Linked DNA regions of Diceros bicornis minor. The protein of the gene in region 1 purifies or fractionates together with the protein of each later gene. This does not show direct contact. Links are inferred from orthologs where the notes say so. Each region holds a gene or a part of one and is shown in the gene's direction. Other genes may lie near its edges.

Region 1 (7,368 bases):
TTGCTCATTAAAACACATTGAGAGGCGGTAAAACTGAGGTTTCTAAGTCACTTTTGTTCACATGAATGATTGACTTGTAGTGCATCTCTCCAGTTCTATGCAGATGGAGACCCCGAGGGGCCACTGCTAAGAGGAAGAACCAATATTTTAGTGAGGCCTGGCTATGGGCCAAGCCTGTACTAAGTACTTTCTTTACATTGTCTCTGAAGCCACTCAACAACCCTATGAAGTAGCTCCTATTACTTTCTTCCATTTTTGCAAATACTGAGGCACAGAGATGTTAAATTACTTGCCAAAGGTCATGAAATTCATAAATGCTTGAGCCGGGACGCAAACCAGGACTGTCTGACACCTAAAGCCTATATTAAGAATCCCCAGACTGGCTTAGGTCAAAGGTTTGAATAAAATTGTAGATATTTAATGTGCGAATTGGACAGGATGACCTAAAAGGTTCCAGTGTAGGCAGCACTAACCTAACTGGGGTGAGGTTGTATGGGAGTATTGGGGGAGAGGGACCATGACAAGGGTGATAAAAAAAGAATGTGTCCACATGCTGTCATGCCGAATTGTGTAACTTAAGAAGGCTGTGTACTTGTAATTGGCCTTTTCTGTGTAAAGCACAAGCCTGAATTAGGTCAGCCTTTCAGAGCGTCCTCTGTTGCCCGTAGTGTAGCCTGTGGCCCCTTTACATAAACTGTAACTTAGATGCTAAGTTCCTTGACAGCAGAGACTATCCATCTTACGCATTGATGTTGCTGAATCTCCAGTCCTATCCCAGTGGCCAACAGAGTAGGTGCTTAAATTATTTGTTCAATATTGATGGTGGTAATGATAGTAAATAACAACTAGTAGCAGTATAACATTTCCAAGCATTATCTCATTTAATCCTCACAATAACTCCATGAAGTAGATTCTATTCTTCTCCCTAATTTATAGATTTAAAAAATAAAAACTAAAAAACATGGCTTAGAGAGATCTTACAACTTGCTCAGGACACAATAAATGGCAGAAAATCAGCTTTGCTTGATATCAGAGCCTTGGCACTTAACATTATGCTATAGTCTGTTGCTTTATAATGCATTTGTTGTATTTCTAAGAAAGCTCATATTATTAAAATCAAATGACAGAGTTTCAGTTCTGTGAAGAAACGAACTCTGTTTTGACTGTATCCCCAGCACCTAGAACAATTTTTGGCATATATTAGGTGCTCAGTAAATATTTTTGGTGGATATGCATACAGGAATGGGTAAGACAATTATTTCAACAGGAATAGGAGTTACAAGCTAGAAAATTACTGGCTCACCATTACAGGCTTTGTTTTGGGGCAGGAGGTTTGCAAGAATTTTGATAAGGGTAGAGCTATAAAACCTAAATATCACGGAACAAATTCAGTAATTTACTCATTCATTCAAGAAATATTTATCTCCATTCAACAAATATAATTGAGCATCTACTAAGTGCCAGACACTTAATATCAGAGATACACTGAGAATGGTTGACAGTAATAAGTAAACAACTATTACAAAATGCAATGCACTACGAAGACGACAAAAAAAAAAAAAAAAAAAAAAAAGATGTAGAGACAGAAAATACCAGAGGAAGAGGCTATAGTGTGTTCAGGGAATGCCCCAACGAAGTAAGGACTGTTCAGCTGAGACTCTGAAGAATACCGAGAACATGAGCAAGGGGCATAGAGAATGGCATGTGCAGATGCCAAAAGCTTTTGGAAAGGACTTGACATGTTGGAGGAGTAGAAAGAAGGTCAGCGAGTCTTCTGAGAAACAGTCTGTGTAGTCTTCTTACCACAACAGAATTGCACAGGGCTTCTTTCACCCCCTTCCCTCCTTTGCTACATGTCATTGTGTTAAAGCACAAAGGCAACAGCTTTATTTTTCTTGGTTTTGGTTGGAGGGGCTAGTTCCCCATTGCTCAAAGTAAAAAAGAGTGGTCCACAAAATTGAAATCTTGGAATCTATTTAATCCATGGAGATCTATCTAATTTGCCTTCTCAGAACTTGTATCTTAGGGGAAAAAAGGCCTGTATTGTTGAATAAACGCAGGAGGAATTTTGCAGGGAACAAGAAAGGGAAAACTGAGTAAACCCGGAGGCTTGATCTACAGAGGAAACATTTGTCCCATTGGTTACAGTGGAAAATTCCTGAAGCACAGCCTGGCCAATGAGCCTGGGCCTACCTGATTCATCAGGCAGCTCTGTTCCAGTCCAGCCCACGTTCCAGGAAGATAAGGGGGAGAATTTCCCAAATACTATTCCAAGGTGTCCTGTTGCAACTTAAGGTCATTTCAACTGAAAGCAAGATGTCTTCTCACCACTTTGAGATGAACTTGGCTTTCTTCCCCTCTGCCCCCGCTCTTCCCCATTATGCTGATCTGCAAGAGAAGCTGGACTGTGTAACTATAAATGAGCTGACCGCTGGAGCCTTGGTGATGGATACAGCTCATCATGTGGAAGAACCTTCCATGGCAGCTGATGCAGAAGTGGATTACATCAACTTGCACCAGTCTTCATCTGTTACTGGAATTTCATATGTGAATTTTGAACAAATAGTCAAACAAGTATGTAAGACTTCACCACCAGATGAGAATAAAATGGAATCTATTATAAGCTAAACCTCCCCCCCAAATTATATCAAAGAATGTTTCTACTCTCTTTGCCCGGAGATACGCGATCGCTTTCTGGAGATAGGGACAATGCCATTTTCCACCTGCCAGAAGCATCTATTCTTCATGGAACTCTAACGGCAATTCCCAACCTCAGTTAAGAACTTGTTTTCCCATTTTTTTGAACTTCAAATACTTTCTAAATTGTGTTAGCTGAAGCATTGTATGTATATAATTAACTCACAGGTCCCTCTGGGCTCATCTAACTAAACTTGTGGAGCTTAACTGAGCAAGACGTGCTGATGTCTCTCCCTGCAGTGTGACACCCACTGAAATGAATACCTTCTACAAGAGGAAACCAGGGAAATTTCTTTTCCAAATTGGCTTTCTAGTGATTTGCGTTGCTTCGTAAATGATTTTAGTTGTTTCATGACAATAATCTAATTTTCTTTCAAATACAGCATTTGCAATTTGCAATTGGGGGAAACATGAGAGGATAGGAAATTCTATATCTTCCTCCTAGTTGAAGTAGGAAGACAGGCCTCTTTTTTGTATTCATGGGATCTTTGAAACACCCTCAGAGTAGCAGTGGCTCTCTGTGGGCTCAGGGCTCCAACGTACCTTCCACGTTGAAAGTAAATGTAAGCCGTTCCTGCAGTGCTGTGTCCTCACGAGCAAAACCTACAGGATGGCACTCAGCAGTTTGCCCAAAAGTGCAAAGGGCTAGGTAAGATGAACTTTTTCAGATTGACTCCACTGACTAGATTCATAACTCAGCCCTCTGCTTCCCTCTCGCTGTGTAGACATAGACGCCTACAGTTAGAATGAGATGTTTTTGACTCTGTTTGGAACGAAGTCAGATGTGACCGTAGAAAAGTTCTGGCCCCTGTTCCCCCTTCTATGCCTAGCACCGAGGGGGCTTAAGCTAGGCTTTGAGCAGCTCATCTTCACATTCTCTTCTCTTTTTCTGAGGCTTCGAGCCCCAGGCCTCGCCCTTTAACTTCATCAAGGGATCGCATGCATCATATAAGGGTGAACAAAAGGGACCTGGATGTAGACCTCCTGCCTACCCAAGGGAACCTACTTCTCCTTGCTGTCCTGAAGCGCAGGTGTCTGGAGAAAGGCAGCGAACTAGGGACTCCGGGTGCTCGAGTAAACGCCGACCGCCGTTAGCTGCGTGGCACCAGAGGAGGGAGGTTGGAAGAGCACGTTTTAGCTTTTCTCGTGAACCTGCAAGCTAGCTGCTTGCTGCCCAGGTGCCGGTTCGCGGCTGCGTGCGCCCCACTGCAGCAGAGAGCAGCCGCAGCCTCTGCTTCGGCCACCACCGCTGCTGGGGAAGAGTCCTGGGGCTGCTGACGCGGTTGGGAGGAGCCTCGCCTTGAACGCATCAGCCGCCTCCAGCCTCCTTTTGCTGCAGCAGCAGCAGCTGCGAGTGCGCGCGTGTGGGTGTGAGGGTGAGTGCGCTGGCGCCGGCCGCAGCGCCCTGCCCAGCTCCCCGCTGGCTTCCTAGCCCCCGCCAGCCGGAGCCGCCCTCCCGTGGGACTAGCACCCTCCTCCGGGCCGGGCAAGCCTGAATCCTGCCCCTACTATCTCGCCACTGCAGCTCGGGTCCAGAAAGGCACCATTTTGTCGCGGCTGCCCGCTCTTCCAGAGGGAGGAGGGATCTTTTTTGCATTTTGGAGCGGCTGCCAACGAGGGGAACCTGTTGGGCATCTCCCCTGCCCCGCTTGTGAGCGCCTCCGGGGCGGCGGGCGGGACCAGACCCCTCGGGGCACGGCGCATCTTGGCACCCGGAGGCAGCGGAGGCAGGCGCAGCATCCTCGCTGGGAATTGGAGCTGGAGTGAGCGCACCGCGGGAGGAGCCGCCGCAGCCTCGGAGATCCCGAGTGGAGGAGGTGACAGCTCCATTGCCGGGTTTTTATTTTTTTTTCTCTCCGCCTCCCCGTCTCCTCCTCAGGCTCGGACCATGGTGCAGTCCCACTGGCTCCCCTGCCCCCCTCTCCTGTGAGACTGGCTGCGGGGAGGGATCATGGATACTTGTCTGCCGGCTTCTGGTTCCCACGCAAGTAAGCCTGCTGTCAATGGAGGAGGACATTGATACCCGCAAAATCAACAACAGTTTCCTGCGCGACCACAGCTATGCGACCGAAGGTAACGCCAGCCCCGCCGCATTCCGCCGCTGGGGCCGGGCGCAAGTTGCGGATCGCTGTGCTCCACGGGCAGCTGGGCGCGGAGCGTCGGAGACTCCTCTGGGCCCCGGGGCTGGAGCGGGGGATTGGCTCACAGGGGCAGCCGCCAGTGCGCCCCACATCCATCCGGGCTCCGCGAGGCGAGCCTGGCGTTCAGCAGCAGGTGGACCCGGCGCCCACGGGAGTTAAAATGGCCCTCGGGGATTAGGCTTTTCAGGGTGGGGTTCCTGGCTGGAAAAATGACCCCCAAAAGGCAGATGACCACTCCCTCAAGATGTTTGCAGGGGTCTTGGCGGGGAGAAAAGAAGGAAGGGGCCCAGAAGGACCGCAGGTCCTCCCCTCCCTGAGCGGAATGATGTTGTCTCTCTCAGTGGCTGCAGGGAGGGCATGGTTTCATTTCCTGCCCGTTCATCTCTCCGGCCGGGTTACCTGCTCAGACAATCAAAACCCCAAAAGGCCCTGGGCAAAAGGGCGAGCCCCCCTCCCCTTGGAGGTGCATTAGCAAGAAATAAAAAGGTAGCTGGGGAAGCAGTGTTCCGGCGGCGAGCGAATGAGTCTGACACGTGGGGCGAGCAATGGGATCAGTGGGGCCTTTAAAAATCACCATTATGAATTCTGCAGCAGTAGTTTCTGCTGAATCAACAGCCAGCAGAAAGCAAAAGGGTTCAGTAAGCTGAGCTGTGCCAGGAGGTGAAATTGTCGTCTCTCTCTCTCTCTCCTAGCTTGTTCTGACATTAGCCTGAGTGCCGTGTGGCCAGGCAGGGAAAGTCAGCAGGTGGAATCTCATTTCGCCTTTTGTGTGTGAATAGAGAGTGGAGGCATTTTTTTTTTTTCAAATACCAAAACTTCTGCATTTTTGCTTTCATTATCTACCTGTAGGCCTTTATCCTTAACCACTCATATAATGTGTTGCATTATCACATTGCAATAGCCACGTGAGGAAATGGGTGTGCAGGTGCTATAGGAAAATGTGGCGAGGTATGTTAAGATTATTGGTATTATTCTTGGATGCTAAAATTTCTATAATATTTCATCAAATCAACACTACTAGAGAAATGTGACAGGGGGAGTAAAAAAGTTCAAGATCTGAAAGAAAGAAAAAGACACAATTTGGGGGTAAATGTGGCATCTTCTATAAACATCCCTGGAAGTTTTAGATAGAAAGCATGCCCAACGCTATTGAAAATATATTCTCCATTCATCATTATTATTGGAGAGCATCAAGCCTAATGTGTCCATGGTGCTAGACAGATTAAGCAGAGTTGTAGATCTCTGGCTTCCAGGAGCTTAGAGATGGCTTTTAAAATGTTCAGTCTATCCCTCCCCCATACCAAGCACCGTACTTGCTGATTTCTTTTTATTTGCATGGTGACGATGTGGTTGTGAGATGTTCTTCCTCAGTCTTACTGCTTTGTCACTGACTCGGTTACCAGGTAGAATATGATTAGCTCTGTGTATAAGCATGTCATCCAAGAGAGAAGATGTCCTTGGGTCTATTGGCTTTTGGGGGGACACTTCTTTCTATTTGTGACAACAAAGAAAGAGGGCTGCCTTCATGTTTTCTTCTCTATTGCATTATGCCTCCAAGTGTAGGCAAAGGAAACTTACTGAGCTGAGAAGATGGGCAAACTGGGGCCACGTGTATAGGAGTGTCATCTGTAGAATGAAGAAACGAGTTAAAAATGGCATTCCTGATTGCTTTCAGGGCCCTAGATACTGCCTAATCTTTGTTTCTATTTTATGGCATTTTTGTAAACTCTCATTCTGGATAAAATATCTGGGTTCATGTAGTGAAAAATGAGGTATGAGTTTATAGCAAAGAGCTTTCAAAAATCTTTCTAAATCAACCTCTCAGATATCTCTCTGTCTCTGTCTCTCTCTCACACACACACACATGCACTAAACACACTCAAAACTAAACAAATCTTTATTTCACAGTAGGTTTCCAGGTTTCTTGACCTGATCTTGGTGAAGGTCTGGGAAGAAAAAAAAAAATGGAACTTAGACAATGTGAATAGCAGAAGTTAGGTAGAGCTGGAAGCTGTCTATGGTCTTAACCTATTCATTTTAGGGAACACTCGTGCAGTGGCGCCAGCCTGAAGGGGAAGAGTCCTCCTCTTCTGATGAATGCCTTAGAAGTGCTGGTATATCTTGAAAGAGCACCAGATCAAAATATTCTGTGTTAAATCCACTTTATTGGGGGCTTGTCCCCAAACTTCTCTTCCCTTTTATTAGCTTAAACCCACTTTTAGGGAATTAGCTTCTAGGTCCTTCTATGTACTGCTTTTCTTTTTGTTTCCTTTGATATTTCTGCATTTTCCTACTTGCCCAGATATGTCAGATTTTTTTTTCTCCAAGATCTCCTTTGCATTTATCTCTGAATTTTTCTTCCCTCTGCTCGGATCATTCCACGCTGCAGTATTCTATTTAAAGCTGAAAGGTTTTTGCTGTGTAGTTAGTGTGAAGGACTCTAAGCTCAATTTGCATTGTAAGTGGTAGCTGCAGGCAAGTTCATCCAGCTAAGAGCAATGCAAATGCTAAAGGACACTTTTACCCAAGC
Region 2 (7,317 bases), on another chromosome or scaffold:
ATTGTATTGAGGACTCTTAGGCAGGGCAGCATGAAACCATTGGGCACCTGGGGATCTTGGGAATGTCTTCAGGTCCTGGAATGCTGCAAGGCAGATAAGAGCACTTGGCCAGAGAATTCCACAAGAGGCAAACGAGTTGGTGATAAAATGAACTGCCTATTTTCACTATTCTACATACACTAGAGGAGCTACATCCATGCATACACTAGACTAGACTAGGAGCCTTGTTTGAGTTTCTGTACATATGTGAGAATCTTAGTCAATTGTCAGTCAATGAACACATATTTATTGAGTGCTTTCTGTGTGCCAGGCACTGTGCTAGGTTCTGGAGATATAGAAGTGAATAAAAAGACAAAAAGTCCCTGCCCTCAGTGACCGTGCTTTCTAGTGGAAGGAGATAAGTGATAAATAGAATAAATAAGTAAAATATAGAGCTTATTAGAAAGTAATAAATCCTCTGGATAAAAAACAAAATAAGATATGGAGATGAAGTATTACGATTTTAAGAGTTAGAAATATCACCTTGTTAAGAAGGTGATATTTGAGCAAAGACTTGGAAAAAATGAAGCACTGATATGTGCAGCTATCTGGGGTACGAGCATTCCAGGCAAAGGGAATAGCCAGTACAAATGTCCTGAGGTAAGCACAGGCCTGTCACATTGAAGCCAGAGTAGCTGGAGACAGAGTCAGGTCAGAGAAGTAAAGGGAGACCTCCAGCCTTTGTAGGCCCTTGTGAGGATGTGGCTTTTACAATGAGCGAAATGGGATCCCTAGGAAAAGTCTTAGCAAAAATTGACATCATTGGCTGTTGAGCCGAGAGTGAACTGTGGAAGGGGCCAAAGACTGAATGAGGGAGACCAGTTGGGAGGATATTGCAATATCCCAGGCAAGAGATGATGATGGTGGCTTAGACCAGGGTGGCGGCAGTAGAGGTGATGAGAAGTGATCAGAGTCTAGAAAAATGTTAAAGGTAGAGCCTTAAGGATTTTCTGATGTATTAGATGTAGGGTGTAGAGGAAAAAAAGAGTCAAGGATGACTCCAAAGGTTTTGCATGAGCAACTTAAAAAATAGTGTGGTTTATTAACTGGAATGGAGAATATTAAGGGTGGCATAGTTGGGGCAGCAGAGACCATTAGCGGTTCGATTTGGGAATCTGTAAAGCTTATGATGTCAAAGTTCTAAGTGGAGTCTGGAGGTCAGGAGAGAGGTCTGAAGTGGAGATCTAAATTTGAGAGTCATCAGAATATAAATGGTATTTGAAGCCATGAAACTGAATGAGATCCACGAGAGCATGGCTAACAGGAAGAGACAAGGTTCAAGGACTGAGCTTGAGGGCCTCTAACATTCAGAGGTCATAGAGAAGGGGAGGACGCAGTAAAAGAGACTGAGAAGGAAGAACCAGTAAGGAAAGAGGCAAACCAGGTAAGTATGTAGTCCTGGAAGCAGGAGAAAAGGTGTTTCGAGAAAGAGAGAGTCATCAACTTGGTCAAATGCTGCTTACATGTCAAAGAAGATGAGAACCAAGAATAGACTTTCTGGATTTAGCAACATGGAGGTCTTTGGTGACACTGACACCATAACAGTTTCAATGGAATGATGGGATAAGAAAGTCTAATTGGAGAAGGTTTGAGATGGGAGAAGAGGAATTGAGGAGAGTGAATGTAGACAACTCTTTCTGTTGTAAAAAGGTTGCAGTTTTTTTTAAAGCCAGTAATTCAGACTTTTTATTAATCCAAATGAGCATTGTGTCCTCAGCAATGTGAATAAGTCAAATTTTACTTGAGAAATCCTCCTTTCAAATGACACCAAGTTTTTGTGAAACGGGTTTCAGCAGTTGTAAGTCTGGCATTCTGTTAACTGGAGAAAAACAATCACTGCCTTCAGTGAATTTGCAGCTCAAGGTATTTTAAGTTTTATCACCTAATTTCTATCTCGGAACTTCATACACACACACATACACACACGCACACATATCCAAAAATGGTGACATCATAGTTCTCAGGTTGAATATTGCAATTCATTATAAATTGCACTCATTCCAAATATTTCATTATTGATTTACAGTTAGTTTTTTTCTTGTGCCATAGCCACCACTTACTCACTTTAATGTTTAAATGATGTTTCTCATTCCGTGGACATTCGACTGCCTTTTCTACTTGTAGACATGGGTTCATGTTGTCAACAGTTGAGCACTGAATCTCAGAAAACATTAAGCTTGAGATTAAAAGTAAGGCAGGGAAAGCTGTCGGTAAAACATGCTAACATAACATATCTGAACAGGACAGGGTCAAGTTCATACTCAGAACCACAAGGGTGCTGTGAAGTACAATGATTTCATACTGCTGTTGTGATGTCCTTTTGTTGTAACATTATAGCCAAAAGTCCTCACCACCCAAGGGTAATGCCAATTTCCCAGAAGGCTCATTTCTCAGAGCCAAAGCTCCAAAGATGCCAATGTAACTCATGCTGATACTTAGTCTCATGTTATTTCTCAATTTTATGCTTAATGTGCTCCTTTTGGTTTTATGTATTTTGACATAGCCAAGTGTATGTGGGGATTTCCCCAAAGTCCTTTAAATGCTATAAAACTTTAATATAGGGAGATAAAAACAATAATAAGCCATGCCTCCAAGCCCTCCCATCTAGTCCTTTATTTGAGTTAGACACTAACCAGTTTTAAATACTGATTTAGATTTTCAAATACTTGCACTACTTTAAATGCCCTTATGCCTTTCCTTACCCACCTCTTCCACCTAACTGAAAATTATATTCTACCCATAACCTGGGCATGCAACACTCATTGATTGCACAAAATGGAATCTTTACAATTCCTAAATCATCATCATTATGGCCTATATCGTGCATGAGCCAATGCAATTTAATGTGGTTCAGAATAAAACCAAGATGGAGGCCCAATTCCCAATTTTAGACAGGCAACCCAAAATGTCTTTTGGAAAAAATGAAATAATGCTCCTGGAAGTCTGTTGAGTTAGTCTGTTTTCAGCATAATTGCCTTCTCTCAGCTTCCTAATACCCTTAAAACCTCTGAGAGTCTTTAATGTACAAAGTTCAACAAAAATACCTTCAAAGCAGATTAGTTCTAATTATGTTTAATATTTGTTTGCTGCTTTATTGAATAAACTACATTTGCTTAAAAAAAATTCACTTAACTGCATGTCAGTCACCCAAATTTTGTGTACAAATGAAATGGAAAACATTTATTACACAAATTTAATTACAATTCTAAGAAATAAACATGCAAATTAGATAGAGTTCAATTTGCGGATGCTAATCCTCATCCTTGATCTTGTTCCTCTCCTCCTCGATTTTCAGTCTGTGCCTCTCCCTGATTCCTAGGGAGCCAGGCAGGGAGAGGTTTGGTTTTTCACAGTCGGAGGATCACTGTTTTAAAGAAGCGTTATATTTAGCACATCTGGCATAGTAGCAGTAAACAAACATTATAGTCTTTGTAACACTTTTGTGCAGGTGCCTTCTCTCGATTTTATTAGGTCTATGCCTTCCAAGCCTCTGCGTTCATTACACCTGAAATGACCCATCTCGACTAGGGAGGGGTCCCTAGATAAAAGTTATGAATTAATGTTTCAAAAAACAAACTCCAATTGAACCCAATACAGGGGAAAATTACTATTTGTAAAATAATGTGATTCCGGGGCTTAAATTACATTCTCTTGACCAAGAACAACCTCTTTTATTACTTTTTATTTCCTGGAGGTTTTCCCTCGAGGCTCCCCATCCAGAAAGAGTTGCCAACTCAAGTTGCAGCAGGACCAAGGTTGCGTTTTTATACATATGCAGCTCCGGAGGGGAACGGGCGGGGGCGGGCGGCGAGGGGAGAATAACTAACTGCTCGGCCCTGCAAAGACATCTGTTTCTCATCTCCGTTTGCCGTGGCAAAGGAGAAGCAAGTCTCTTGCAAAGGGTGGGAAAGGCACGGATTTTTTTTTTTTTTTAATCACACGCACACACAACAACAACAAAACTAAATCAAATAAAAAAAGAGAAGACATCTCAGAAGGTTGCAGAGCGAATACATTATTTGGCTGGAACCGGGCCCCCAGGGCTAGGGCGGGAGCCCGGGAGCGCGTGGGGTCTGGGCTGCGGGCTGGAGCTGGGCCCGCGTGTCCCCGGGCACCGGGAGGGGAGGGGAGGAGAGCGAAGAGGGAGGGCGGGAAGGAGGCAGGGGGCGGGCTGGGGTGGGGGTGAGGGGAAGGCGCCCCGTGTGCTGCCTGAGGAGTGGCGGCGGCGGCGGGAGCAGAGGGAGGGAGGGAGAGCGGGCGCGCTTGTCATGTTCCCTCTTTCACCCTGGGGGCATCCTGCAGAACCTCTCCTCGGAAATCCACGGGGAAATGGCAAACAGGATTGACGGGTTTCACACGCTCCTCGCTAGACAGAGCCGCTAATTACCATAACCGTCTGCAGCGACGGCGGCGCAGCGCCCCAGTCGCGGCGGCGGGACCTGCCGGGACCCTCGCCCGCCGCGCACCAGCGGTCACCGCCGACCGGGCCGCCGGGCCGGGACCGGCGCGAGTGTGCACCGGCGGCCGGGCTGGCGCCGAGCCCAGAGCGGACAAGCTGCAGCGCGAGCGCTGCGGCCGCCGCCTCCCGGCTGACCCCGCGGTAAGAGCCGGGCTGGGCGCGGGCGGCGGGGGCGGAGGGCCAAGGCGGGCGGAGGGCGAGGGCTGGTCCCCCTGAGCGTCTGCTCGCGCGGACTGGCACCCACGCGGCCTCCTGCGCGCCCTCCTGGCACCGGGCCTGCGCTGGGGTCACCGAGTGGACGCGCACCCGCTGGAGCGGGACCGGGGGCGGCGCGAGGGCCAGGGCACAGCTGGGCGCAGAGGCGGCGCGGGCTTTTCCCGGGGATGGCGTGCGCCGCGGCGCCTTTACCCGGGCGGGAACCGCCGCCGCCTCTAGGGCTGCTCCGGCTGCCGCCAGCGCGCACCGAGCCGACTGAAAGGGCGACAGGGGACAGCAGCTCTGGTGAGACCTCAGGGTCTTCGGTGGCCGCGTATTCCTTTATCCTAGGGGACGGGGGTCAGTAGGAGGGATGCCCTAGGTCTGATTGCTGCGGCGCCTGGCAGGTGGGGAGGGAGGGATTGTGGATGTCAGAAGCGCGCGTTTGCAAGAAAAGGGAATAGCTGCAGGAGCTGACACCTTCTGCCCCCCCCCCCCCGCCACCTCCGCCCCCGCACCCTCCTCCCCGGCAGCCGAGCCGCGCTGCGGGCGGCGGCGGCTCCTCTGTCCTCAGCTCACCTCCCCGGCGGGCTCGGCTGCTGCCCGCCTGGTCCACGCCTCCGCCTCTCTCCTCCCTTCCTCCCCTCCCGCCTCCTCGGCCCTAGCAACTTTCCGGAGTGCCCGGCTGGGGCCGCAGAGGCGGGGGGAGAGGCGACCCGGCGGCTGAGGGTGGCGCGGACAGGGCGGACGCCTGCGGGAAGCGCCGGCCGTGTCGTCGCCGCCCGCGTCCGACGGATGCGCAGGGCGCTCCCGCAGCCGCGGGCTCCGAGTGGGTTTGGCCGGCGAGGGAGGGAGGGAGGGCCGGGCAGGCATCTGCTGCGGGCTGGAGCGCGGGGCCGGGGCCAGCCTCGCCAGAGCCCTGCCAACCGCCGTGAGTCATTTCCTTGGAATCCTACCTTTGGTGTTTATTTCCCTTAGAAGGAAACTTGGTTTTAAAAAAAAAGAAGAAGAAAAAGAAAAGAAAGAAAGAATAATAATAGCTCTTATTCTTCAGGAGAGGCGCACGGCTCCGGCACCGTGGAAAGACAACTTGCCTTTGTTCCCAGACACTTGGGGTGTTGTTTACTTTCTCCTGCGGCCGGCGGCCGGCAGGGCTCTGCTCGCTACCCCGGGGAGGGGCTCAGGGGCTGTGGCACCGATCCCCGGGGGTGTGTCTTGTGTGGGAGCAGGGATGAGGTGGCTGCTGCGCGGTTCTCCAAACCTCCCACCCCAGTCTTGGGCCTGGGGTGGGGAGACCTTACGCCGGGGCTCGGACACCGGGCCCCCCCCTCGTCCCCCTCAGGCCCAGCATCCTCATTCCCGGCCCCGGGACCCGACCTAAAGCTCTTGGCCTTTAGGAGCTGCAGCTGAGAAATGTACTTCCCAGGGCAGACAGGTGTGCTGCAGGGCCTGGCAGAAAAGCGACATCTGTCTATTTAGAGGGGTTGAAGGATTTTATTCCGACCACCCGGCCCCTTCCACTACCACGAGCTGGACAAGCTGTCGAGATCCTGTTAGAGACAATGTCAAGGTCAAGGGCTTGATTCCACCTGGGCAGGACATTTAAGACTGGCAGCGTCAAAGGTGCATTGAAAATATCAGGCCTTTACTACTCTGTTTTTCAGTGTTGGAAGCAGACCTGTAACTGCTATAATGCTCTTAATCAGATGTTCTCTAATTTCCAATGATAGGTGGGGGAGGGGTGGGCAAAGAATGACCAGGGGCCCCTGTGAGATTCCAGGTGCCACTGAATCTGTAGCTACCTTGTTCTGTGTACCAGCCGCTCCTATTAGCATCATAATGGCTCCCAGGAAAGAACAAGCCCAACTCATCTGGAAAAGCCAAATTGTATAGAAATGCCTGGTAACTTTACTGTGAACATTTGCTGGAAAAGGTTGACATTTTAGCCCTCAGCCTTCTGGGAATGTTTGAGGTGTCATTCCACTACATCCACTTGGCTGACAAAGCAGACAGGCAGGAGCCTGAGGATAAAAGGTTAGGGCATTTTATTTTTTATTATTTAAACCCATGTATAAACAAAACACACTTTAACACCCTTCTTTTGAATTCAGTCACCTCTGATGTTAAAAAAAAATAAATTTTGCCATAAATGATTTAAACTTCTGAATTCAGTAGTTTAGTACTGAACTATATTATAATTCAGAATTATAGTGTAAATCTCATCATACAGAGAATAATGACAGTTTGGATCTGTACATATAATACAAATAAAGAATCCGGTGAAATGTTGGTGCTTAGTGCCACACACTCCAATTCTTCATTTATGTTACTTTTGCCTTCTTAATTTGTTAACATCCCAGTGTAAGTTCTAAATAGACTAGGAAGACTCAATTGCAAAATCTCTTCCCTGCTCCCAAATAATCCTCCCTCATTTATATTTTATTCAGACTTACATAAATCACTTGTGGAACTCAGCCTCTCCAGTTTAGGATTTTGTGTGTAAAAGTTTCCAATTCAAAAAAGAAAAGCCTACTGAAATTAGATATCCTAAAGGAAAGAAGCAGCCAAGATAAAAACGATTATGCCATGTTTCAAGTTCAAATGCATAATGATAGAATTTCACT
Region 3 (7,684 bases), on another chromosome or scaffold:
TATTTCTATCTCAAGCGTTAGATCTATAATTGTGTCACAATTATTTTTCCTTATTATAAACCTGGTGTAAACACCAGCCTTTTCTTAAACTGACTTTGTTTTGCTTAAATTTTCTGAGAAATGACTTTACACAACTGCAAAATTTAAAATGACTGGGGTTGTAAAGACAGTGTGTGAGGAGGCCATTAGATTTAATGAGAGGTCTAAGATAGTATTTTATAAAGGAGTGGACAGACTTTTATTTTAGTATATAGCTGATATACTTAGCTGATAAGGTATGGTCAAGCTAAAGTAATAATCTGCCTGATTTCATAAATAATCACTGTGTTCAGCACATAGTAGCAATATGTAAACATAGTGTTTGAAAGAGTCCGAAAAAGCCATCTTTTAATCTTATTTGTCCTGGAGATTTCAAAGCTTGGTAAGTTATTTTTTTCATAGATAGTTAAGAGGTAAATTGTTATTAGAAACTCTTAATTAATGGGATTCATAAATGTGCTTGGCACATACTAGGGGCTCAATAAATATTCAATGAATGAAAGAAATAATGAACTTACGTTTTACTGTACTGTGCTGACAGGAAAACAGAGTCTGATGGGACACATGATATATAGAATTTTCTGTCTTAGCAATTTGTCTTTAAATGTTAATTAACACAAACACTTGTGAGTTATCTGACCAAGTCTGAATGATATTACATATTACTAAGTAGGGCTAACCATTTCCAGCAACTATTTATTTTAATGTAAAGTGACAAGTTGCTGCTGTGAGAAAATTAAGAGCCAACTAAGGCCAGAAATCCTCAAGCTATTGTTTTGAAGGAATTTAACTTATCACACTACTCTGAGAGAGCATTTATTTATTTGTTGGCTATCAGGGAAGGCAGACTTAAGGTTTTTAAACCTGTAATATAGATGTTCAAAAATAATAACTGTAATTGGGACAATTTTTTCCAGTATCAGGACTGTGTTCTAGTGCTTCCATAACAGATGAATGTGCGAAGGGGTAGCCATTTAATTAGAAGCCCGAGAAAGGAACTTTCAGAGATTTTCTGCAAGTAATAAAAATTCTTAAAAAAACCTCATAAATTTCAAGTATTCTCTGCTTTAAGATGCACCCATTCCTCTCTTTCCCCAAAAAGGGGACAGATAGACGAATCTCAAACTCTACATAAACTTGATTTTCAGTCTGTACTGAACCTTATCACTACACAAATAGTCTCCAATAGTTAGATGGACAAAGTCAATACAAGGTGTGGTCAAGCTAAAGTTATACTCATGCTGAAGAAGGTAGTCTCTCAGAGAATCTGGTTCAGAAAGTTAAGTAACTTCACATTTACTCATTTTGATTAGTAATATTTGGACCTTCAAAAAATTTTTTTGAATAATATGTTTAAAAAAGCACACAATTTGGAGGCTAGCCAGGATTCGGGCAGTAAGTTTTATATAGTCTAATACTGATCAGTTTCCAAAGAGATGGGCCTTGAGGACTTCCTTTTCGTTTGCTAACGCATTTTACTTATCCAAGAGGTTTAAGGAATTGGCAAAGAGAGAGGTGTTTTGACCTTAAGGAGTCAGCAATGTAGGACTTACATGTCTAGATGGAATTTAACCAAGGAAGGCCTTAGCAACCTCTGGGAACCTATATATGTGGTAAAGCCACTGCTTATCAGAAGTACTAACATTATCATTTATAATACAAAAGAATGGGCTAGCCTCTTGACCACGTAAAATGCTAATTGACCTCCACATTAGTGTGCACATCTCTCTTGAAAGGTATGTAATTTATTCCAATCTATGTTTCTTTAGACTGGTCAGTCACATTGGGGAAATAAAGTAACTCAGCAGATTCTGGAGAGATCACTTTATATAAAATTTAGTTAAAAAATTTATTTATTTATTTATTTATTGGTCTAGTCTCTGTTCCTATCTTCTCTTTTGACAATCTAACCTACACATTACTGCTAGATTAATTTTTCAAACAGAACTCTAATTACATTATTCTACTCCAAAAATTTTCACATCTCTCAATTGTCTACCAAATTAAGTACAAATTACAGCCTAGCATTCAATGATTTCCACAAAAATAGCCCCAACTTATCTTTCCCAATTTATTTCCTAGTACTGCCTCTACAAATACAGCCACAAGCTCAGTCCTCCTGCAGGCCCAAATTATTAGGCAACAGTGGATTCGTACTGGTTGCTGCCCCTAAGGTACAGGAGGAGCAGAAGAAAACAGCCAGTTCCCCACTCCCACTCCAACAGAGAGGTCGGGAAGTGAACACTGCTCTAGTAAATACAGATTGATCTGTCACGCTCTTGCTTAAAACCATTACAGTGAGCTTTTTATAAATCTAGGATTGATGGGCCAAGATGTGGCTAGAATTTAAGGGTTCTACAAACTTGAATTGGGAAAAAAGTTGGATCTTTATTATCAATATCTCCAGCTAAAATTTAGCATTTTCTTCAATAGGTGTAGGCAATAATCCACAGTAGCATTAGCAGTCCCTATGTCTTTGTCATCAACAGAAATATGATATTTTCACATCACTTTAAAGTTGTTACAAGTATCTGAAAATATAATTTATACTCATCACTACTTTGAAATTACATAATTAGACCTGCTGCCAGACGTTATTTAATGCATAAAGAAGCACATAACTATGCCATACACTTGTTTTAGTATTTTCAAAACTTTTAATGAAATTGATTTATGTTTCTATGTATTTTATTTTATACATTTAAAAACGTTATTCTGAGATAGGGTCCACAGGCCAGGCTGACAAAGAGGTTCATGGTGTAAAGAGGTTATTTTTATCTTTGGTACTTATACCTATTAATTGCTTATGGTATATAATATAAATGCTTTAGCATGGAATTCAAGGCTCCTCATAATTTGTTCACACCCACTTTATCATCTTTATCTCTGCCCCACCCCTACTCTCCATACTAAACTCCAGTCATACCAGACAACAGTACCTCTCTTATCTGGAGGCAGGCAGACAGGTTTTTGGATTAACCCTAGTTAACAGAGAATAACCACGGACTGGCTAGGGCTTTGCCTTATAAAGACCTTCTTCGCCTGCCAAGTGAATTCTTCTTTTAAAGCTTTGTTTTCCCTAATACTATGAGATCCTAACAGGGCTATATCTTAAATATCCTTATATCTCATTCCTAACTTAAATGATTGATGAAATGAATAATAGAAGACAGATTCTAAACTGGTAAGGCACTGTGTGTAGGGGAGTGAAGTCAGCCTTTGAATCTCATAAATTGGCTTAGCTCTGATCTTTTTGGGGATAGAAATGGGGATGCCCTTGAGCTCTAAGGCTGGATCCCCAGGTGACAAATCCTGGATGGAAGTGAAAGGGAGAGGAAAGAGAGTCGTAAGCGAGGTGGGCCTGATTAAGACTGAGGGATGGAACTGTGCTGAAGGAAAAGGCAGGAGTGACTCTTTCTCCCATTTCCCACAGCAGTTATTCAAAACTTTTATCACTCTGCTCAAGCTTCTCATTCTATCCCTAACTCTTTCATCAAATGACTCCCATCTTAATGTTACAGAGCCAACTCCAGCAACTTCCTGCCTTTCTCTACTTTCCATCCTTTCCTTTTCTCTAGTTTAGTGGTTCTCAACCCTCAGCACTAGAGCCATCTCAGGAACTTTAAAATATTACTGATGCCAGAGTTTGTTTTATTGGTCTTGGGTAGACCAACAGCATTGGTTTTTTTTTAAAAAAAGCTTCCCAGGTGATTCTAATGTGCATACAAAATTGAGTTCCACTAGTGCTCTTGATCCTATAAATTAGCCACTCTCAACCATGAATTGTCCACTTTTCATTTCCATGGTACACTTTTATGCCCAAGTCTCCCATCTTTCAAGAAAACATTCTTGCGGCCCACATTCTCGCCTCTCATCGCTCTGAGCCTTCACAGCAATGCTTCTTTAAAGGTTAGTCTACACCAGTATGGTTTCCACCAGCTATATTCTATTCCTCTTTTTTACCATTCCAGCCAATACCGTCATATGCTTCTGTAGCCGTCATTCTCTTTGCTTCTATCTCATCTAACACTTCTTCGACCAGCTACTGCTCACGAGCCTTTTAACATAAGTTAAGAACGACCCAAACGTCACCTTGGAAGGGGTTTCCTCCCGTCCTTCTACACAACCAGGGGCCTCTCTCCTATGCTCAGAGAGTATCCTGTGCTTTCTTTCTGTTATGATTTTACTACACCACCACTGCGGATTCTCTCATTGTCTTCCACGTAACACAGCACTTCAGAAAGCTGAGACTATTTCATTCGCTTCTGACTTTATGGAGTCTAATGCACGGAAACCACTCAATGAAAAGTCTGCGGAATGAATGGAAAGGAAGACTAGGAAACGGAGGTCCGGGGCGGGCCAATGCAGGAGGAAGGGGCGTGTGCGTGGAGAGGGGCGGGGGCTAAGAGGGGCGGCGCTGAGAACCCTGCGGCAGAATTGGGGAGGGGGCACGAATACGCTACAGCTGCGTGGACAGCAAAGCAGTCCCCTGCTGGGACACACTGACTGACAAACCGAAGTGGGGAGGCGGCTTCTTACCTGCCTGGGGCCTCACCACCCCATTCAGCCTTCTGGCACCTCGCTGTTGGCCGGAAAGCCAGAGCTACGGTCGCAAACCCAGAATTTTCTACCTCAACCTTGCGACAGTCCTCTCTCGTAGAGGGAAAATCTAAGGCCGAGTTCCCAACTCTGCCGTAAGGTGAGGAAGAAAAGGTTGGGCGGGGCCTCCTGGGCGGGATGAGATAAGGCGTGTCCGCGCAAGCGCAAGCTGTACTCGCTGGCGGCGTCACGCGCAGGGGCGGGGCCGAGCCGGAGGGCCGGCTCGGGCGGGCGGTAGGGGGCGTGGGAGGTAGGTGCGCGCGCGCCTGCTCGCCTGCAGCCGGGGAGTCGCGTGGGGCGGGGCCGCGTGCGCGGGGTCGGGGGCGCGCGCGCCCGAGCGGACTAGGGACGCGGCGGCGGTTGGCGGTGACTGCTGAGAGTCCAGCCGGCACCGTGAAAGGCGGCGGCGGAGGCACCCGCGGCACCGGCAGAGGCAGCGACAGCGGTTGAGGCGGCGGGCCAACGCGTGCTCTCTGGGCGGGGTGCGGCGGGCGATGTGCCTGCCCAGGCCGGGCGGAGTCTCTCTGACAGGGCGGGGGATGCGCGGCGGCCGCTCGCCCGGACCCTGAGGCAGCTGGGCCCACCCTCCCGGAACCGTCCGACCCTCGGGGGCCTCCGCCTCCGCTGTCTCCTCCGGTCTGACCCTGGGACCGAGGCTGGGAGGCGGCTTCCGTCGAAGAGGAGGGGGCTGTGGTGGCCACCGCGGCGGAGCCCGAGGTAAGACCCGCCCAAGCAGCGCAGCGGCCCTGCCGCCGGCCCGGCCCACGTCTCAGTCTCGCTCTTTGGCTCTTGCGGGGCCGCCCCGCCCCGCCCCAGCGGAGACGCCCCGCGCGGGTCGTCCCCGGGGCCTCCCAGACACCCGATCGCTGCCCCGGGGCTCCGGTAGACCGCACCCATCGTATCTGCCATGGGCCGGCGCCGTTCCGGTCCTCCAGCCTCCCCGGCGGGTCTGTCACGGGCCCCTACCCCAGCACACGACGTTAGAACCCCCCTCGGACTCTCTTACGACTCTTAATGGAGCCTCCGGGCTCCGTTACATCCTCCCGTGAGCTGACCCGATCACAGTTCCTCTGAGACCCAGTCACGGCCGCCCCCTAACCCATTGCGACCCCCAGCTCCAAGGCGTGTTCATCGCTGCCCATCCCTCTTCCCCGCGGACCCCGCCTCTCAGCTCGCTCACCGCCCAGCCGACGAGCTCTTCCCCTACCCAACTCGGCTTTCGGCGAGTCTGCTTCGTGATGCTCTAACCTCCCGGTGGATCTGGTGTCAGCCTCTCTAGACACCGGCAGACAGCGGCCTCTCCCCCGACCCCTGCTGTCGCCCCCCCCCCCCCCGCAGACCTGCTCTCCTCAGGCAGACCTTCTTATCTTTCTTTCCTTCAGAGAAAGGTGGCGATCCTTTTTTTGGTTGAAAGGGCTTTGCCGTGAAATCCTGAAGGGATGTTTGCTTAGCCTAGTGTATTCCTCCCAGTGGGGCTTAAGCGGGCCAACTGACACCCATGTTTGGACGGTTTAGTCTGGTGGCTAAAGAGAGGAAGAGGGAAGAGTATGGAAGCCCAGGGCGGGGGGTGTGTGTGCTGTTATAAGGTCACACAGCCTGTGTCTCATCTTGTCTCTTCTGTGGAACGTGTGAGGTAGTCCGGATGCGACGTGTTAGGGACCTCTATAAGGATTAAATCACGTTACACTAATGGGTATAGCTGTCCCCATGTAGTATCATTTGCCTCACCTTGTGGATTTTTGCAGGTCTTTTGCACTGTTTTTGGAGGATACCAGGGGACTTTTTTTTGGTTTGCTGTTTTTGAATTTCCTGGAAAAGTAAGATTTGTAGCTTTAATTAATACCTGAAAATTTAAGTATCCATTCAATAATAAGTTTCTGCTACCTGCTGCCTTGCTTTTCCAAGGAGCAAGTTCAGTTATCATGTAGTGTTCACTGATGTTATCAACAGCCTTCTCAGCAGTAGTAAAATATTGAATAAAATGTTGTTTGTTGAAGTTGAACTCCTGAGCTGTCAAGAAGGAAATGTAATGTTACACCAAATGATCAGTGCATAATTTTAACGTTGGTATCGGGATGAAGTATAGAGAGATTTTTGTAGTCAGTACTTTTAAAATTTTGTTTTGTGTGGAACTGAGGAGGGGAAAGTCATATTATAAGCATAGGTAGTAACTAAATGTAGTATAAAAGTCAAAAGGTTCAAAAGGGTATGCAGTAAAAAATTTCTCTTCCCTCTTTGTCGTCCAACCATCCCATTTTCCCTCTTTAGAGGCAACTATTTCCATTTTGTTGTGTCTCCTTCCTGGGATATTTCTAGCATATATAGGCCTATACATTTATATTTTTAAAACACACCACAGACAAATGCTTGCGTACTGTACACTCTGTATATAGCTTGTTTTTTAAAAATTTCATTTAATAATAGATCCTAGAGATCATTGAACAACAGTACATATGGACGTGCCTCATTTACTTGGCTGGGTAGTATTCCATTTTGGTGGTCTTGAGGTTATTTTCATCTTTGCTTTTACAAACAGTGCTGCATGCTTGTTTTTTAAATGTATCAGGTGTTAAAATTTCCTGATGATTCTTTGTGTTGAACCTACAAAAAAGAATATAACTAAAGTAAATTTCTCATTGAACCTCTGAGCTTCCGTGGAGTGACTAGCTTTGATGGTCATTTATATTTATCAAATAAGTTATTGAAGGATTCAATGTAGGGGACTGAAATGATCAGATTTGTGTTTTTAAAAGGTCACTCTGGCTGCAATGTGGAGGGTTGGATTGAAGGGTAGACTAAGGCTAAAGGCAGTAATATCAGGAGGGTAGTCCAGGCAAATGATGATAGTGCGTCTGGATTTGAGTATTGGAGTAGATAGGTCTTGGTGATTTCGTTAGATTTGGGATTAGGGATGGGGTTCATAGAGGATAAGATCTAGGTTTCTAGCTTCTGCCTTTCACTGAGGTGGCCATCCATATGAGGGAGGAGTAGGATTTTTATTTTATTTTTTATCAAGAAAGAGGAATTAAATTTGTGACATGTTAAG
Region 4 (8,015 bases), on another chromosome or scaffold:
GGTGGAGCCCTCATGGATGGTAGCAGTGCTCTTGCAAAGAGACCCCTTGCCCCTTCCACCACATGAGGACACGAGAAGATGGCAGGCAGTATGCAACCCAGGAGAGGGCTCTCACCAGAACCCAACCATGCTGGCACCCTGAGCTCAGGCTTCTAGCCTCCAGAACTGCGAGAAATAAGTTTCTACTGTTTATAAGCCACCCAGTCTGTGGTGTTCTGTTATAGCAGCCAGAACAGACTAAGACAAACAGTTACATTCCAGGCTCAGATAATGATAAACATATATACATTTTTTAACCTATGTGAATGTTTCAGAAGGAGGTCTGGAAGTTGTGCAGCATGTGGGCCAACAATTCTTCTCTAGGCCTATTGACGACATCTCGCATCTCTGACTCCCCTCCTAAATCCCACTAGTCTCCCCAATCCATTGTAGTGACAACAAAAAATACTTCCACAAACTTCCACAGTGCTCCTAGAGGGTGCTTCCACCCTCATTAAGAAGCACTGTTCCAGAGCAAAAGGCCCTCCTTCTACTGTCATCGATATCCTTCCTCTAGGTTCTCAAGTCAGAGGGAGACTCACCACTTCCCCGAGACTGGTGCTACGAGAGGCCTTCGGTGGGACATGTGACCAGTTCGGTTTTAACTGAGTAAATCTTTATCGATATCTCTTAATCTTGATCATCCAGATTTTTACACAGCACTGAATGAGGTTTCAAAAAGAACCATGAGGAAATGCAAATGACAAGCATACGACACTTGGAGCTGTGTTACAAATACTAACACAGTGTTTCTCAGAGTGTGGTCAGGTGGTTACCTGCATCAAAACTGTTTACTAAAAACACAGATTCCAGCGCTCCACTCCATACCTTTGAAATCAGGGGGGGATGTGGCCACGGTATCTGCAAGTTTAACAAGCTCACCAGGTGATTTTAATGTACTCAAGGTTTAAGAGCCTCTGAAGCCATCCTCATCACCACCGTCACCAGCACGCACAGCTGCCAATCTGGTCATGAGAAAGGGTCAGTGGTCCTTGTGCTTCAGGCCCCTTATGGCATCTTGGCAGTAACCCTCCAAGAGGAGCTGGGAGGCACCCTGCCCCCTTCTGGGGTGGACACATCAGCTTCAAACGCAGGAGGGCCACCTGACCTCACGTTGTCCCTTTTTAACCCTAACTTTCCTGAAGCACCCAAAAAATTGCCCACTCTGTTAAAAATCTCTGCTTTCCACTCTTTTCAAAGAGGATGATTTCTTATTATTTAAACAAGAAATGATTTCATATTCTAAATGTGCTTTCGTGTTAAAATAAGGGAAAACACTGGAAAATAGATATGTCCCTAGGTTTGGACAAGGTTTTGAGGGTGCAGAAATTCTGCATATAATTCTGCCTGTGAATACAGAGTAGCAAGGGACGTGCAGTCCTAACTTGTATTTTTTCCTCTATGAGTCAAACAAAGTGAAAAATTGTTTCTCTTTATATAACTGTACAGACATAGACTAGATTTCTAACTCTCCAAGTTTGGTTTGCTCACATTTTAAAGAGTACTGAAGATTATTCCACTGGTGTTAAATAATAAAGATGATGGTGATATTGATAATAATATCTTACCCTAGGGCAAACAGAATGCAAGTGACTTAGGATTTGAACCCAGATTTACCTGGTGCCAATACCTCTTGTCACCATACCTCATTGCTCTTTGACAAGGAGGTCATGGACACAGTTATACTAAACTACTTATTACATCAAAGCTGCTGCGTGCAGTTCCCTAGGCTTGTAATTAGGCCTCTGCAGAAGAATGAGAAAATCGGAACCCCGGAGTGTAGTGCAAGGATTTACAACACAGGGATTACACTGCAGGGAATTGGTCACAGAGGTGGGGGAGGAATCAAGAGCCAAACAGGGGACAGTGAAGTCACCAGAGATTTGCAACCACAGGCAGCCACTACCACCCTCCACTGAGAGGCAATGGGAGGAGGTGAAGTTACTAGAGGGAGCAGGTCGTCCAGTGAAAGCTGAAACCCCAATAAGCCAGTCCACAGAGGAGAGCTGGCCACTCTGAAGAAGCCACTTAAGGCAGAAAGAGAAGGTAAGAAATGCTACGCTGGTTTCTCGCTTGCTGTTACACGCCAATCTCCCACAGCGCCTCCCACTGGCCAAACCCAATCAGCAAACCCAGGAACTTGGAAAACCAACCTTTATGGGTTATTTCCCCTCTATACAGAGTGAGTTGGGGAAGGGCAAGGACTGAGTGTGAGGGCAGACAAACCCAAATAGGCACACGCACACTAGATTTTATTGTTTTCCAGAATAAAGCTCTTCAAGGCTCCTTTAAATAGTAAACCCCCTACTGCCTTTAGACTAACTTGAGTTAACAACAAAAAATGTTTAAAAATCACATGTGACATTAAAAATATTTATTATGCAAGCAGATATCTCTTTACACCTGTAACTCACTGAATATTGGAAAACAAAGAAAGCGTTGTTGAACACCTTGCTGCCAAGGCCAGCAGAAGCAAATGCCAGGCTAATAATCCAGAGTAGGGGTTTTGTTTGACTTACTACGGGAAGGAAAGGGACGCTGGCCACAAACAGTATGGTCACCTGGCTAATTTTTTTGGAAGACTAACTTACTGAAACACTTTTTTTTTTTAATTTATTTTTTCCCCCAAAGCCCCAGTAGATAGTTGTATGTTATAGCTGCACATCCTTCTAGTTGCTGTATGTGGGACGCGGCCTCAGCATGGCCAGAGAAGTGGTGCGTCGGTGAGCGCCCGGGATCCGAACCCGGGCCACCAGCAGCGGAGCGCGCACACTTACCCGCTAAGCCACGGGCCGGCCCCTTGAAACACTTTTAAGGTGGTCTTTTGCATGATATCTGTGGTATGAGGAATGGCATGCTTGTGCTAAGAGTCCTGGACATAATTCTTGAGAAAAGTGAGGGTGATGGAGACTCTGGGTCTCTGGAAGAAGTTCTAAGTGAAGCTCCTGGACCCCGCGTTCCAGTCAGTTGTGCTCCAGGGACTGACAGCGGCCACACGCTGATTAACTGGCCGGCTCCGGAAGGGGGGCTAGGGCGCCCTCTAGGGGAGAGCTGGCCGGGCGTGGTGGCTCGGCACCTCTCAAGCCTCTCTGCAGTGTTGTCACCACCAGTGCCCTTTTTCTCCAAATACTCCATGAAACATGGCTGTGCTCTTGTTAGATACTGAGTCAAAGGAGATTCAGTACCGATTATATTCCGTGTGTGCTGTTACACATTCAGAGGAATTGCCAGGGAAAGGACTCACATGAAACAAGAGAGCAGTAGAGCAGACTAGGTTCCAGCGTCCTCAGAGCTCGGTCACAGGGCGTGGCAGGCATCTCCGCGGGGATGTGAGGAGAAGCAGATAGGATGTCTTCTGGGAGTACGGCCCTGCTGATTTACAGGATTAAAAAAAATCACTTTATCCCGCATTTTTTTGAAGGAGGTGGCTAAGTAGGGTAATTCGTACTTAAGATCAGACTTGGGAGTCTAGTTTTCTTTTAGTCTTTTATCTTCACAAGTCTGTCCCCCTTTCTCTACCCCTACTCCCACTGCCCCGTCGTCTGTGCTCGTTGCCACAGCTCCCCCTCATCGGCCTCCCTCTCCTGCTGCTGCCGCCGGTGGTATATTTGTAAGCAAATAAGATCAGTCCTGCTCAGAATCCTCGGACGGCTCCCCCAGCCTCTAGGATAACGTCCCAATTCCGCCGAAGGATATTTGGGCCCACCACCCCTCCAGCGTCATCTCACCTACAGCCTCTGCTCTGGCAAGTCCTGGGCATTCACCCAGGAGACCAACTCATCCTTCTTGGGAAACTCCAACCTCCCCCAGCTGGGTAAGTGCCCACCCAGCAACTTGTAATGACTGCCTTCCCCAAAGCTGAGTCTAGACGACAGACTGGGCCTTATTCCTTTGAGTACTGCCCAACATCCAACGCGTGACGCAAAAGCTGCGCTCAAGAATATTTGAAAAGCACTTTACAGTTTACACAGTGTTTTCTCGTATTTGCTCATTTAATCTCCAAAGTCAGGTGGCAGTATTTTCTAATTATACAGGCGAGGGAACTGAGGCTCAAAAACGTCAGTGGCCCACGTCAGACTCGCAAGTTCTCTGAGAGGATAGCGTGTAGGATTGAGAATTCCACAGACTTGGCTGTGACTCCGGGCCCAGCCATGGACTGGCTAAGGCACCGACTTCACCTCCCTGCACCCATGTCCCCGTCCTTAAAGAAGACTAATTCCAATTCGGACTTGTTATGAGGATTAAATAAAACAATGCCTATGAAGTGTCGAACAGTGCCTGGCTGGCAGCCGGAACTATAAATGTGAGTTCCTTTTCTGACTCCAAGCTTGGCGAGCTGCTTTTCCTATTTCTACAGCAGCTTCTCCTTGTCAGAGCTACAGAGGCCACTGGGGGTGCCAACTGTGGAGTGCTGTGTCCGTTTTGACGCGATAGCTGCATCGGGTACCAGCAAGCCTTAAAGGAGAGTGGAGACTCTGGGCACACTTGGATAGGACAGTGGGGGAGGGGGAACTACCGGGTCCTGGGAGGCAGGGGTTGGATGGAGGGGCCTTTGGGGGGGGTTGGTCAACTCAGGGAAAGCTGGCGCCCCACTCAGAGGGGCCCACCCACGCCTCCCGGACCTCCAGTCTCCCACAAGCGGCCAGTGCCCGCCACCTTACCCCCACTTCGCTTCTGCTACTTCCCTCCCTCCCCAGCTCCTGGCACTGACTCTGGGGCCTCAAAAAGCAAGGAGGGACCCAGGGCAGAGAGGGCTGAGGACACAGCGCGCGCCCGAGCCCCGGGGGAGCGCAGGCCCCGCCCCCCGCCTCCGCCCCACCCCCAGCGCCGGCTGGCCGCCGGCAGGACATGCGCACAGGGCGCGGGCAGGCGGGGGAGCGCGCGTGCAGTTTCTCTCCGCCGGGAGCGGCGGGGGCGGGGACGGGCGCGGGCCGGAGCCGGCGGGCGGACGCTGCCGGGCGCGGGCCGCCGTGGGCGGGGAGCGCGCCGACCGCGCCGCTGCCGGACGAGAGCTGGTGTGCGAGGCTGCGGCGGCGGCCCCGCGAGCCGGGAGCGCGGCGTCCAGGGGATGCGAGCGGCAGGGAGCCGCCGCGCTGCTGCGCCGGGAGAACTCGAGCGGCAGTGACCTCAGCGAGGGGAGAGTGCGGCGACGGCGGCTGCGAGCCCCGCGGGGATCTTTGGGGCCGGGGGTGCGGGGGGGCCGGCGGCGGCGCGGGAGCGCGGGGCGCAGACCGGGCGGGGCTGGCGGACAGTGATGAGCGAGCGCGCCGGGAGGCTGCACGCAGCCGCCGCCCGGAGCATCTGCCGCCCGAGCTGCTGCTCGCGGCCCGGGCGCCGGCCATGGAGACGCTGAATGGCCCCGCGGGCGGCGGTGCGCCGGACGCGAAGCCGCAGCCGCCCGGCCAGCACCACCGCCACCACCACCTGCACCCGCTGGCCGAGCGGAGGCGGCTGCACCGCGCACCTTCGCCCGCCAGACCATTCCTCAAGGACCTGCACGGCCGGCCCGCGGCGCCCGGCCCAGCCCCGGCCGCCCCCTCCTCGGGCCGAGCCCCGGCGCCCGCCGCCCCGCGCTCGCCCAGCCTCGCGGGCAAGGCGCCGCCCTCGCCGGGGCCCCTGGCCGCGCCCGGCCGCCTCTCCCGGCTCAGCGGCGGCGCCCCGGGCGCGAAGGACAAGCCGCCGCCGGGCGCCGGGGCCAGGGCAGCGGGCGGCGCCAAGGCCGCTCCGGGCCCCAGGAGGGCAGCGCGCGCGGCGCCCGCCGAGCCTCTGCCCCGGGCCGGGAAGCCGCCGCCGCCGCCGCTCGGGGCCGAGCCGCCGCCCGCCACAGCGAAGGGCCGCAAAGCCAGACGTGGCTCCGGGGCGCCCCCCGCCCGCGCCGCCGGGCTCCCCACCCCGGCCGCCCCGGTCCCCGCGGTGATCCTCGCCGTGACCTCGGCGGCCGGCTCCCCGGCCCCCGGCTCGCGCATCAGCCACACCGACAGCAGCTCCGATCTCTCGGACTGCCCCTCTGAACCCCTGTCGGACGAGCAGCGCCTGCTCCCCGCCGCCAGCAGCGACGCCGAGTCTGGCACTGGCTCCAGCGACCGGGAACCCCTGCGAGGAGCCCCCACGACGAGTCCCGCAGCTCGGGGGGCGCCTCCGGGCAGCCCCGAGCCCCCCGCCCTCCTCGCCGCGCCCCCCGCCGCCGGCGCCTGCCTCGGGGGTCGGGGCAGCCCGGGCGGGGTCCCCGCGGGGTCCCCGGGGCCCGGCGTGGCGGAGGATGCCGGGGGACGCCTGCCGCTGGAGCGAACGGTCCCCGGGACCCCCAAGGAGGCCGGCGCGGGCGAGCAGCCCCGGCTAGTACCGGCGGTGGAGGAGGAGGAGCTGCTTCGAGAGATGGAGGAGCTGCGCTCGGAGAACGACTATCTCAAGGTGAGCAGTCGGCTCTGCCGCAGGTGTCCCGGAGGGTCTGGGTGCGCGCAGGGGCCCGCCTTTGGGGTCCTGACAAGGACTTTCTCCCTTCTGCCCTTCACTTTACTGCCGCCGCACACGCTGGGCATTGGGAACTTAAGTCAAAACTTCTAGAAGGAGCACCAAGATCTGTGAGTCCGGGCCAGTTCTCAACCCAATTAGCTTTTCTTGTTTCTAGAAGGCTTGCTTTTCTCAGCTGATGCCTTTGCCCCTGTCGATGTGCTGGGGAAGGGGTGGTTATAATCACATTTTGGATACACAGTTGACTCCCACATATCTGCCCACCCTCACCTGTGGGAGTGGGTTATACCTAGCCAAGGAGCTCTGGTCCGGGCCACGGAGGGGGGTGGGGTGTGTGTGTGTGTGTCGGTCGGTTCCAGAGGGTGCGGTGGCCCAGGCTGCGGACGCGTCTGCTGCTTATCCAGCGCCCTCAGTGTCTCCCTCAGAGGCTCGGACAGGACAGGCAGAGGGGGCTCCGCTGTTTTCGGTGATAAACCTAAGTTCAGGCGTCCCTTGAGTGTGGCCTGGGTTGAAGGACAACAGTGTTTTGCTGGTCAGTCCTCTGTAAGCTTCCGTGAGCCGCTTTTTCGTGTCAGGAGAGGCCACTTGGTTCCCTCCACGCGCCAGCACTTTCGAGGGAATCGCAGCCTCTGCCACCCTCTCTCTCAGTATTTTCCCGCAGGACCTGCAGTCAGTGGCCTCTTGGTCTTGTTAGCTTTGGGGCACTCAGTCTGACTCCATCTTTTCTCTGAGGAGGAGGGCTGTTGCTGCAGAACAGAGGCTTTAGACAGTGTTGAGGTGTCTAGACAATCGAGGTGACATGAGAGAAAATAAGGGGGATTGTATTGAGGGCAATTGTTTTAATTTATTGTAATTCACAGGTTAGGTTAGTTGGTATAAATCTATTCGTGTTTCTGTTGAGATGGTAATATATATCCCCCCAAACCAGTGCACTGGGCCTCCTTTATCAGTGGGTTTAGTGATTTGTGCTGTTTTCTCAGCAAATGCTGAACCTACCCAAGTGAGGCCTAGTTTTTGGCCAGTGGGACCTAGGGTGTGGGCTTTTAAGGTGAATGGTGGTGAAGTGTGCAGTTCCAACTGGAGTCAGTTAGCTGCCGAGTATTCCTAATCCTAAACCTCTGGTCAGGAGCAGCTCTGACCAGCTGAGCCCAGGAGTTATTTATTGGTGCAGAGAGGTAACAGTGAGGGAGAGAGGTGAGAAAAGAGGGCAGGTTGGGACTGGAGTGAGATGTTTCAGATACTGCTCTCCTGTCACCTACTCTTTAATGTAGCAGACCACAGAGTGAAATTCAAAGGTGTTGGAGAGAAAGGGCAAGCAACTGTGTTGTGTGACTCTATTGAGAGACCAGCACTTTTGTAAATCTTCAACAAATGTAAGCTCCCAGAGGGCCAGAAAGATGGTCTTGTTCACTTTTGTAGCTGCAACTCAGCATAATCACTGACCCACAGTGTTTTTGGTTGAATGATGTTTATCCAAATCATGACTGTGAAGCAACAGAAAATGG

What was found.
Region 2: the proteins of PPP2R2B (region 1) and SERTAD4 purify together in Homo sapiens (co-immunoprecipitation; 3 studies listed by BioGRID and IntAct, with this or other methods). This does not show direct contact. The link is inferred for Diceros bicornis minor from reciprocal best matches to the Homo sapiens genes PPP2R2B and SERTAD4.
Region 3: the proteins of PPP2R2B (region 1) and MYO9A purify together in Homo sapiens (affinity purification with mass spectrometry; 4 studies listed by BioGRID and IntAct, with this or other methods). This does not show direct contact. The link is inferred for Diceros bicornis minor from reciprocal best matches to the Homo sapiens genes PPP2R2B and MYO9A.
Region 4: the proteins of PPP2R2B (region 1) and MTCL1 purify together in Homo sapiens (affinity purification with mass spectrometry; 4 studies listed by BioGRID and IntAct, with this or other methods). This does not show direct contact. The link is inferred for Diceros bicornis minor from reciprocal best matches to the Homo sapiens genes PPP2R2B and MTCL1.

The regions. Positions count from the first base shown.
Region 1 is NC_080740.1:64,198,270-64,205,637, reverse strand, and holds the start of PPP2R2B (serine/threonine-protein phosphatase 2A 55 kDa regulatory subunit B beta isoform), read left to right. Parts: upstream 1-4,361; 5' UTR 4,362-4,700; coding exon 4,701-4,770; intron 4,771-7,368. UniProt on the Homo sapiens protein: The B regulatory subunit might modulate substrate selectivity and catalytic activity, and might also direct the localization of the catalytic enzyme to a particular subcellular compartment.
Region 2 is NC_080743.1:76,280,988-76,288,304, forward strand, and holds the start of SERTAD4 (SERTA domain-containing protein 4), read left to right. Parts: upstream 1-4,315; 5' UTR 4,316-4,639; intron 4,640-7,317.
Region 3 is NC_080744.1:65,556,931-65,564,614, reverse strand, and holds the start of MYO9A (unconventional myosin-IXa), read left to right. Parts: upstream 1-4,673; 5' UTR 4,674-4,738; intron 4,739-4,977; exon of another isoform or gene 4,978-5,355; intron 5,356-7,684. UniProt on the Homo sapiens protein: Myosins are actin-based motor molecules with ATPase activity. Unconventional myosins serve in intracellular movements. Regulates Rho by stimulating it's GTPase activity in neurons.
Region 4 is NC_080755.1:6,944,203-6,952,217, reverse strand, and holds the start of MTCL1 (microtubule cross-linking factor 1), read left to right. Parts: upstream 1-5,010; 5' UTR 5,011-5,379; coding exon 5,380-6,450; intron 6,451-8,015. UniProt on the Homo sapiens protein: Microtubule-associated factor involved in the late phase of epithelial polarization and microtubule dynamics regulation.